Mus musculus: one gene and its partner. Each later gene encodes a partner of the first gene's protein in a complex. Links are inferred from orthologs where the notes say so. Each region holds a gene or a part of one and is shown in the gene's direction. Other genes may lie near its edges.

What was found. Proteins that work in one complex are often made in the same cells at the same time.
Region 2: the proteins of Rev1 (region 1) and Polh are in contact, whole or in part, in an NMR structure (PDB 2LSK), measured with the Homo sapiens proteins. The link is inferred for Mus musculus from reciprocal best matches to the Homo sapiens genes REV1 and POLH. Residues at the interface, in NP_057400.1 of Homo sapiens: Asn1158, Leu1159, Ala1160, Gly1161, Leu1171, Leu1172, Trp1175, Ile1179, Asp1181, Pro1182, Met1183, Glu1185, Asp1186, Gln1189, Val1190; in NP_006493.1 of Homo sapiens: Thr528, Glu529, Pro530, Phe531, Phe532, Lys533, Lys535, Ser536, Leu539.

Annotation. Positions count from the first base shown.
Region 1 is NC_000067.6:38,053,988-38,057,688, reverse strand, and holds part of Rev1 (DNA repair protein REV1), read left to right. Parts: coding exon 1-15; intron 16-806; coding exon 807-972; intron 973-1,222; coding exon 1,223-1,425; intron 1,426-2,109; exon of another isoform or gene 2,110-2,164; coding exon 2,165-2,398; exon of another isoform or gene 2,399-2,823; coding exon 2,824-2,944; exon of another isoform or gene 2,945-3,393; coding exon 3,394-3,605; exon of another isoform or gene 3,606-3,692; coding exon 3,693-3,701. UniProt on the Homo sapiens protein: Deoxycytidyl transferase involved in DNA repair. Transfers a dCMP residue from dCTP to the 3'-end of a DNA primer in a template-dependent reaction.
Region 2 is NC_000083.6:46,188,497-46,193,507, reverse strand, and holds part of Polh (DNA polymerase eta), read left to right. Parts: intron 1-2,731; coding exon 2,732-2,901; intron 2,902-5,011. UniProt on the Homo sapiens protein: DNA polymerase specifically involved in the DNA repair by translesion synthesis (TLS). Due to low processivity on both damaged and normal DNA, cooperates with the heterotetrameric (REV3L, REV7, POLD2 and POLD3) POLZ complex for complete bypass of DNA lesions.

The DNA of each region.
Region 1 (3,701 bases):
TCGGATATGAGAGGGGTGAGTATCACACTGGCTCCTTCTTTCTGTATCGTGAAGTCTGGGCTTCCTCTGAGCTCGGTCCTGATGTAGTACCGGCGTATTATGGACACAATTTTAACTTCATCCATGCAGTCCACAGAAGGAAACAGGACTTCTCGTCAAGCCTCCTCATGCTGGTTCTGATAGATTAGATTTGTTACTGTGTAATTCTGTCTTCTGCACAATACTATTTAAATCTTACACGTCCTATTCCCAGCACTTGATGAGCACCCGTATCACTGCGTTCCTGTCCCAGCTCTGTAACTCTACTACTGTAGGGAGACTTTCATCATGCTAAGTAGATAGGTGGACCACTCTGCCATACCCAGCCTGCCAGCTTTAGAGACAAATCCTATTTAAAACCTCATCTGGGGCTGGTGAGACACTTGAGTAGGTACAGGCACTTTGGTTGTCATGGGCCCCCGTGCTTGTACTATACCAGCCTTTCCCCTTTAAATGTAATGAACCCTGTAAAGCACCCAGCACACCTATGGAGTACTGAAATCCACTTGTTTGGGTATTCTGATTTTAAAAGTCTTACTACCCACCACCATGTAAGTAAGTAAGATAAAGCTACTTAACTCACTGAGCCACAAGTTGTTTGAGGGACAACTCATAAGTAAGCTGTTGGTTTGCATTGTTCCAATGGATTCTTTATTCTAGAAACTGGATTGTTGGCAGCACCAACAATAACTGAGAATTTTGTATAGATGAATTCTTACTTTTCACTTTTGTTATTTTAGAAACCTTCTCTTTTATTTTGACTCTAGGTTGGTATTCAAGTGAATCAGTTGGTTCCTGCTAATTCAAATCTTTCCACATGTTCAAGTCGTCCATCAGCTCAGTCAAGCCTCTTCTCTGGTCGGCCACATTCTGTCCGTGATCTCTTCCAACTTCAGAAAGCCAAGAAACCCACAGAAGAGGAACACAAGGAAGGTGGGTGGCCCTCAGTGTGCGGCTGCTTTCTGCTCCACCAAGTCCTCGGGGAGTAAGAAGTTCCATTTTAAATCCACATGGGTCTGTGCCCTTTCATTGCTTTGTTTTAAAAGTAAAATTACATTCTAAATTGTGAATCTAGAACGATTTGTAAGGAAAAGAATGAAGTGATCGGGGTGGAGGGGCTTGGCGATTTCTCCCCCTTCCCATGAGCTAAAGAGGCTGTTTGATTTGTTTCCTACAACTGTAGTATTTCTGGCTGCTGTGGATCTGGAAGTGTCCTCCACCTCTAGAGCTTGTGGTTTATTGTCTCCGCTCTCTGCACATCTGGCAGCTAGTGTTAGTCCTGACACTAACAGTGGAGAGTGTTCCAGAAAATGGAATGGCCTGCACTCTCCTGTCAGTGGACAGTCACGGCTGAACCTCAGTATAGAGGTCCCATCACCATCCCAGGTATGGGTTTTGGTCCTTAAGTCAGTTTTGTACTAAGAACAAAGTGGTATTCTTCCCTTGTTGGTCAGCATACAAAGTCAACTTCATGTCTTACTGTTCTCACTTAAGCTGCTCCCACTTGTGCAGGTTCCCTTGTTTGCTAGTCTGCTTTGTGTCAGGTGTATCCCATCCTCTTTTTACATGAGTTCACATGGGGCGGGGCTAAAGAAAATGAAAATGCTGTCTCCAGATCTAAGGAAAAGAGGCAGTTCTCATGCTTGAGGGAGAAACCCTAATGCTTGTATAAATAAATACCTTTTTATCTTAATACTTTTAAGCCGGGCAGTGGTGGCGAACGCCTTTAATCCCAGCACTTGGGAGGCAGAGGCAGGCAGATTTCTGAGTTCCAGGATAACCAGGGGAACACAGAGAAACCCTGTCTCAAAAAACAAACAAACAAACAAAAACCTTTTAAGTATAGGATGATAATATTTTGGGGGGGGGGGGGATTCTCCCATCTGAAAAGGTATTTTCTGTTGTCCCTTTCCATGGGTGAGTTCTTACTGCAAGGTGTTGTGTGAGTCATATGTGGACTCCCTTGTATGTTACTGACTCCTACTCTGCACTCACCTTCAGACTCGGGCTTCGGTGCCCATCAAGATAGGGTAGGGACTAGCTTTTTGAAGGCCGAGGGTCTGAACTTTTACTGTTCCTGAAACTTTTATTTCTGAGCATCAAGTTCACATTTGGTATTTTACAGATTGACCAGTCTGTTTTAGAAGCGCTCCCACTTGATCTCCGGGAACAAATAGAACAAGTTTGTGCCGCTCAGCAGGGAGAGCCACGTGGAAAGAAGAAAGAACCAGTAAATGGCTGCAGTTCAGGGGTGTTGCCACATCCTGTTGGAACAGTTTTATTACAGATCCCAGAGCCTCAAGAACCTTGTAATAGTGACAGCAAGATTAGTGTAATTGCCCTTCCAGCATTCTCACAAGTACGTTGATGTCAGGGACCTTCAGTCATGCTTTTCTCACCTGTCCTCTCCTCTATCTAATTCCTGAGGAGCTTGCACTTCTGCAGACAGTGGTTGGCACCTCAGCACCAGAGGGAAGAGATGTGGGAGGCAGGTGTTGGTCCCTAAAGATTCTGGAAGACACTCTTTGTTGACTTTACTGGTTCACACAGATCATGAGACCTCCTGAATAGGGGAAGATGCCCAGAAGTGTCCATGTGTTTTTGGCTTCCCATTTTGTAACCGAGTGTCTTGTTCTGATTAGTTAGCACAGAAATTGGATTGCTCATATCCAGTGTCTTGGAAGGTTTTGTCCTAGCTTTGCTGTTTAAGGACCTGTTAAAGTGATTTGAAAACAGTCTAGCTGTCCTCCAGAATTAATTTAGGTGTGACTTTCCTTGTACTAGGTGGACCCTGATGTCTTTGCTGCCCTTCCTGCTGAGCTTCAAAAGGAGCTGAAAGCAGCATATGATCAAAGACAAAGGCAGGGAGAGGACACTACTCATCAGCAGCCAACCAGTACATCTGGTAAGAGGAGAGAACTGTCATGTCCCAAAAAGGGACTAGGGTGATGACATCATTGTGTTATAACTGTTCATCCTAGAGAGTGTCTGAAGTGATCAAGGCAGACGAGTAGCGAGTGCTGTAAGTCACTGCTGGTTGGTACTTGTGCTGGTCTTAGTATTTTTGGATACAAGTCAAGCTACTTGTCCTTTGAGACTGCTGTTTGAAAGAATGTGGGTTCAAAACATGAAATCTCAAAACATGAGTCCCTGAACACACATTTTATTAAACCTACGTAACTGCTAAATGAGAATACGAAGTTGTACAGCTGAGCTCGGAGGACTTTATGCCTTAAGCCACGGCGTGCCTGGCCTTCTTTCCTGCTCTTGGTTGTAAGGGGGGGTTGGAAGGACAAAGAGTCAATGGTATTATTACCTGATTGCATTTTGAGACTCTCATACCTCCTCTTTTAGTGCCAAAGAATCCTTTACTTCAGCTAAAGCCACCAGCAATGAAAGACAAGAGGAACAAGAGGAAGAACCTCATTGGTTCTCCCAGAAAGAGTCCTTTGAAAAATAAGCTGCTTAGCAGTCCTGCAAAAACTCTGCCAGGGGCATATGGAAGCCCCCAGAAGTTAATGGATGGTTTTCTACAACATGAAGGAATGGCTTCAGAGAGACCCCTGGTAACTGGAACAAAATACTGACTGTTACTAGATTTTAATGTACTTGACACTGTCTGAATACAGCATTCTCGTTCACTTCCTCAACAGGAAGAAGTC
Region 2 (5,011 bases), on another chromosome or scaffold:
CTCCTTTCTGTGCTGCCTAGGCTGTCCTCAGATCCTTTAACCTGCTCCCTAGCTATTGGAACCACAAGGGTACCAGGCTTGTGCTACCATAGATGTGAGGTGTCTATTGTGTTTTGCACTGGAGACAAACACAGGGCCTCCGGTGTAGCAGCAAGTGCTTGTCCTCTAGTACACCTTCAAACCACGTGGGAAGAGGCTGGGGAGGTTGGGCCTGTGATATTGCTCTGTAGGTGTCCTTTCTATTGCTGTGCAGGTACCATGACTAAGGCAACTTACAAAAGAAAGAGATCATTGGGCTGATAGTGTCAGAGGGTGAGTCCATGACTATCATGAGGAGTAAGGAACCAGTCAGGCAGTCATGGTGCAGGAGAAGTAGCTGAGAGCTTATATGCGTGATAACTGCCACAAAGAAGAGAGACCTAACAAGAAATGTCATGGGCATGGGCTTTTGGACCGCAAATCACACCCCCAGGGACACACCTCCTAATTGTTCCTAAACACCAAAGCTTGTACTAACTAGAGACCATGTTTTCAAATATATGAGCTTCTGGGGCCATTCTCATTCAAACCCTCACACCAGTAAAGGCACTTACTGCCTGCTGGCCTGAGCGCAATCCCTGCGCGGTGAAAGCGAAGCCCCGACTCCCGCACACTCTTTATTGACCTCCATGTATGTGTTTTCCCCTGACCTCTAAAATGTTATATATTTTTAAAATTTATTTTTATTTTATATTCATTGGTGTATTGCTTGCATGTGTGTCAGAAGCTCTGGGACTGGAGTTATAGACAGGTGTGAGCTGCCATGTGCGTGCTGGGAATGGAACCAGGGTCCTCTGGAAGAGCAGCCAGTGCTCCCAAAGAGTTAAGGTAGTTTAAGTGAAGCAGGGGAGTTGAAGTGATACAGGAAACTGTTTTGAAGTGGGCTCTGTTGGCTGACTACACAGTAGAAAATGAAAGAATAAAGTTAATGTTAGGTAAATTCTAAGCTTTTATTAAAAACAAGGCATTGGGAGAGGGACCCTTTGAGAAAGAAGCTGTGCTTGATTTTAGTTATGTTGAGTTAGAATGTTTGCACAGTCATAAGCATAAAGGAATTGCTCTGTCAGGAGGTGGCAGGGAGGATGGGCGCTAAAGACCCGAGCTTAGGGTCAGAGAGGGAGGTGTGCGTGTATTCAGCGGGATCAGGTCATGGTCACCAAGGGGAACATACAGAGCGGGAAAGTGTTGCTCACTTGCCATGGTTAGGATGCTGGCAGCAGACATGGCAGCTGTGGAGGGATGCAGTAGTCACTGAAGGGTGGCAAGGTTTCCTCTGCGTGCTCGTCTGACCCATCTTCTCTATGGTGTTTGGACTTTTTCTTCTCCCAGGTATTCTGCCCTATACCTATCTCATTACTGCATCTTTAAACCAACATGTCTGTATTTCCTTTGCTGTGTAATCACATTTTATTCTATTTCACAACTGTGAATTTGTGAATGATCATTGAATTCACTATCATGAATAGTTCTAAACTGAGTTGTAAAGATATTTTTGGTTGGATTTTAAACTACTTATATGGAATCATTCTCTAAAATAATGTAAATACTTAAGTGGAAGTTTAAGCTTGAGTAAATCATGAATGTTTTCTGGGCTTGGTTTTTTTTGTTTTGTTTTTGTTTTTTTTTTGTTTTGTTTTTGGTTTTCGAGACAGGGTTTCTCTGTGTAGCCCAGGCTGGCCTTGAACTCAAAAATCTGCCTGCCTCTGCCTCCCAAGTGCTGGGATTAAAGTGTGCCACCACACCCAGCTTGGTTTTGGTTTTTGAGACAGGGCTTGATAGGCAGACCAAGCTGGCCGTGAACTTGCAGTGGATCCTACTCCCTCTACCTTCTGACTGCTGTGGTTGTAGGTCTGCACTGCCATCCCAGCAATTCTGAGGGTTTCCTAGTGAAGAAGAGTGTTCAAGAGGAAGTTTAAGGAGCCTGACGGTACTGGCAGTTGCACGCCTTTTACCCTAGCACTCTGGAGGCCAAGGCAGGCAGATTGCTGAGTTCACAGCTAGTCTGGGACAGAGTGAGTTCCAGGATAGCCAGAGCATGACCACACACATGGCCTACAGTGACACACACGTGGATAAGATTCAATTTTGAAATGAAGTTGTATATCTTAAGTACCTCTTTTTGTTTTTTTGAGACAGAGTTTCTCTGTGTATCAGAACCCTGGCTGACCTGGTCTCTCTTTGTAGACCAGACTGACCTCAAACTCACAGAAATCCACCTGCCTCTGTCTCCAGAATGCTAGAATTAAAGGTGTGTGCTACCATGTGCAGCCCAAAGTCAAATCATTTTTGCATTGAATGGTAACTATAGCCATGTGCTGCTTAATGTAAGGGATTTGCTCTGGGAAATGTGTCACTGGGTGATTTTATAGTGCAGACTTAGAGAAAGCTAGATCATGCAGCCTACTACATGTTAAGTTTGATGCCATCCGTATACTATGATTTATATAGTATGCCCTTGAGCAAATATTGTGTGATTCATGACTAAAAATAATTAAAAAAAAATGTTAGCTGGGCAGTGGTGGCGCACACCTTTAATTCCGACACTTGGGAGGCAGAGGCAGGTGGATCTCTGAGTTGGAGGCCAGCCTGGTCTATAGTGGGAGTTCTAGAATAGCCAGAGCTACACAGAGAAACCCTGTTTCAAAAAAGCAAAAACAAGCAAACGTCTAAATGTGACCTCTGCTCTTTTCAGAGGCTATTCGGAAACAAGGCTTGCTTCAGTGGCTTGATTCTCTTCAGAGTGATGATCCCACCTCTCCAGACCTCAGGCTGACTGTGGGAGCCATGATTGTGGAAGAAATGAGAGCAGCCATAGAGAGTAAGACTGGCTTCCAGTGTTCAGCTGGAATCTCACACAATAAGGTAAAGGCTTACTGTAGACTTCCAAGAGAAGCATTCATAGTTTTAGTTAAGTACAACAAGGATATTGGTGGGTATTCAGAGTTTGTGTTGAGAGCCACTGTGGGTAATACATGTGTGCCCTTCTGCTCCTGTCTCTCCCTCCCAAAGGTCTGCGATTGTAGGGATGTGCCACGACACTAGCTTTCTTGTTTCCTTGTATGAAATTGCCTGGATATGTTATGCTTCTGTCTCCCTTGTATCTATATATGTGTGTGTGTGTGTGTGTAAAACTATGTTTGTATGATGTATGCATATGTGTTATTACCCCTGTGCTGTACTTTTGAGGCAGGGTCTCTCTCTGAACCTAAAACTATAATTTCTTTGGAGGAGAGGGAGCTATGAGAGCAGCCAGCAGGCCCCAGAGGTCTTCCTGTGTCTTCCCCCTTCAATGCTGGGGTGTTTGCAGGATTATGCCCTGCTTGTTTCAAATGTGCTGGGATTCAAATGCAGTTTGCAGGCTTTAGAGATATGGGGACAATAAGAGAAAGACTGTAGTAAAATTTTAATTTGGACTAGTATTTTTACAATAGGGAACATAGACAATTCTCAGTGTTCCAGGAGAATAATACCTGGTTTTCTAACTAGCATGCTAAAGTGCAGTGAGACTGGGATGTCCATCAGCTCAACCAAGGCTCCATAGCTGAGCAGTAGCTGGCCAGGCTGTTGCCGGCCTTTCCTCCCTCTAACGGAAGGAAAGTTGCTAGCTGCACAGAATAATTTTCTATTTTCTAGTTATATGGAAGGAAGAGAAACAATATTCCTAATGTAATATGAATCATACTAAATATTGTTTTGTTGAAGTTACTAAAGAATTTTACTAACAGTTGGGCATGGTGGTACATGCTTTTAATCCTAGCACTTGGGAGGCAGAGGCAGAGAGGCAGAGAGAGAGGCAGAGGCAGAGGCAGAGAGGCAGAGGCAGAGAGGCAGAGGCAGAGAGGCAGAGGCAGAGGCAGAGAGGCAGAGGCAGAGAGGCAGAGGCAGAGAGGCAGAGGCAGAGAGGCAGAGAGGCGCAGAGGCAGAGAGGTGCAGAGGCAGGTGGATCTTTGGGAGTTCCAGTCCAGCCTGGTTTACATAGTGAGTTCATGTGCAGCTAGGGCCAGATAATAGAGAGACCATGGGTTCTCAATAGCAGTGGTCTTCAATTTATGGGTCATGACCCCTTTGGGGGGTCAAAAGACCCTTTCACAGGGGTTGAATATAGTTTATATATCACACATTTAAGTCACAACTCTTATGAGTAGTAAAGTTAACAGGTATGAAGTAGCAACAAAAATAATGTTATGGTTGGGGTCACTGCATCATGAAGAACTATAGTAAAGGGTTGTAGCATTAGGAAGGTTGAGAACAACTGCCCTAGTGGAACAGAATGTATAGAATGAATACATATATTTATGAACTTTGTTAGAATGGATTACAGGCTAGTCCAGCTTGTCCAGCAATCCTGTTTACCAACAGAAGGTCCAAGAATCTAATAGTTGTTCAGTCCTCGGAGCTGGATGTCTCACCTGGCCTTCAGTGTCTGCCAGAATCCCAACGAAGCTAGCTCTAGTGCCAGGAAAGGAATGGACTTGCCAGTGAGAGCAAGCAGGCAGGGAGAGAGAGCAAGGTTCCTCCTGTGTTCTTTATATAGGCTGCCAGCAGAAGATGTGGCCCAGGCTGAAGACAGATCTTCCCATTTCAAAAGATCCTGATTAAAAGTGGGTCTTCCCATTTCAAATAATTAATTGAGGGGAAACTCCCTCACAGGCATACCCAACCACTTGGGTTTTAGTTAATCCAGGTGTGGTCAAAGTGACAACCAAGAATAGCCATCACAGACTATGTCTTAAAGGGAAGAAAAAGATTCTTACTAGTGAAATTAAGGAATAATCATATGTAGATGTGTATCTGTCTATGGGGGTGGGGGTGGGGTAAACATCTCTAAACCATCCTAATTATTTGTATGTCTGTGTAGGGAGCCAAGGCCAGCCTCAAGCCTCTGCTCGTTCCACACTCACGTCCTTGGACTATTTTAGCATTTTCAAATTTACATGAATAAGAAGTGACCTTAAGTTTCTTCTCTGGTTTT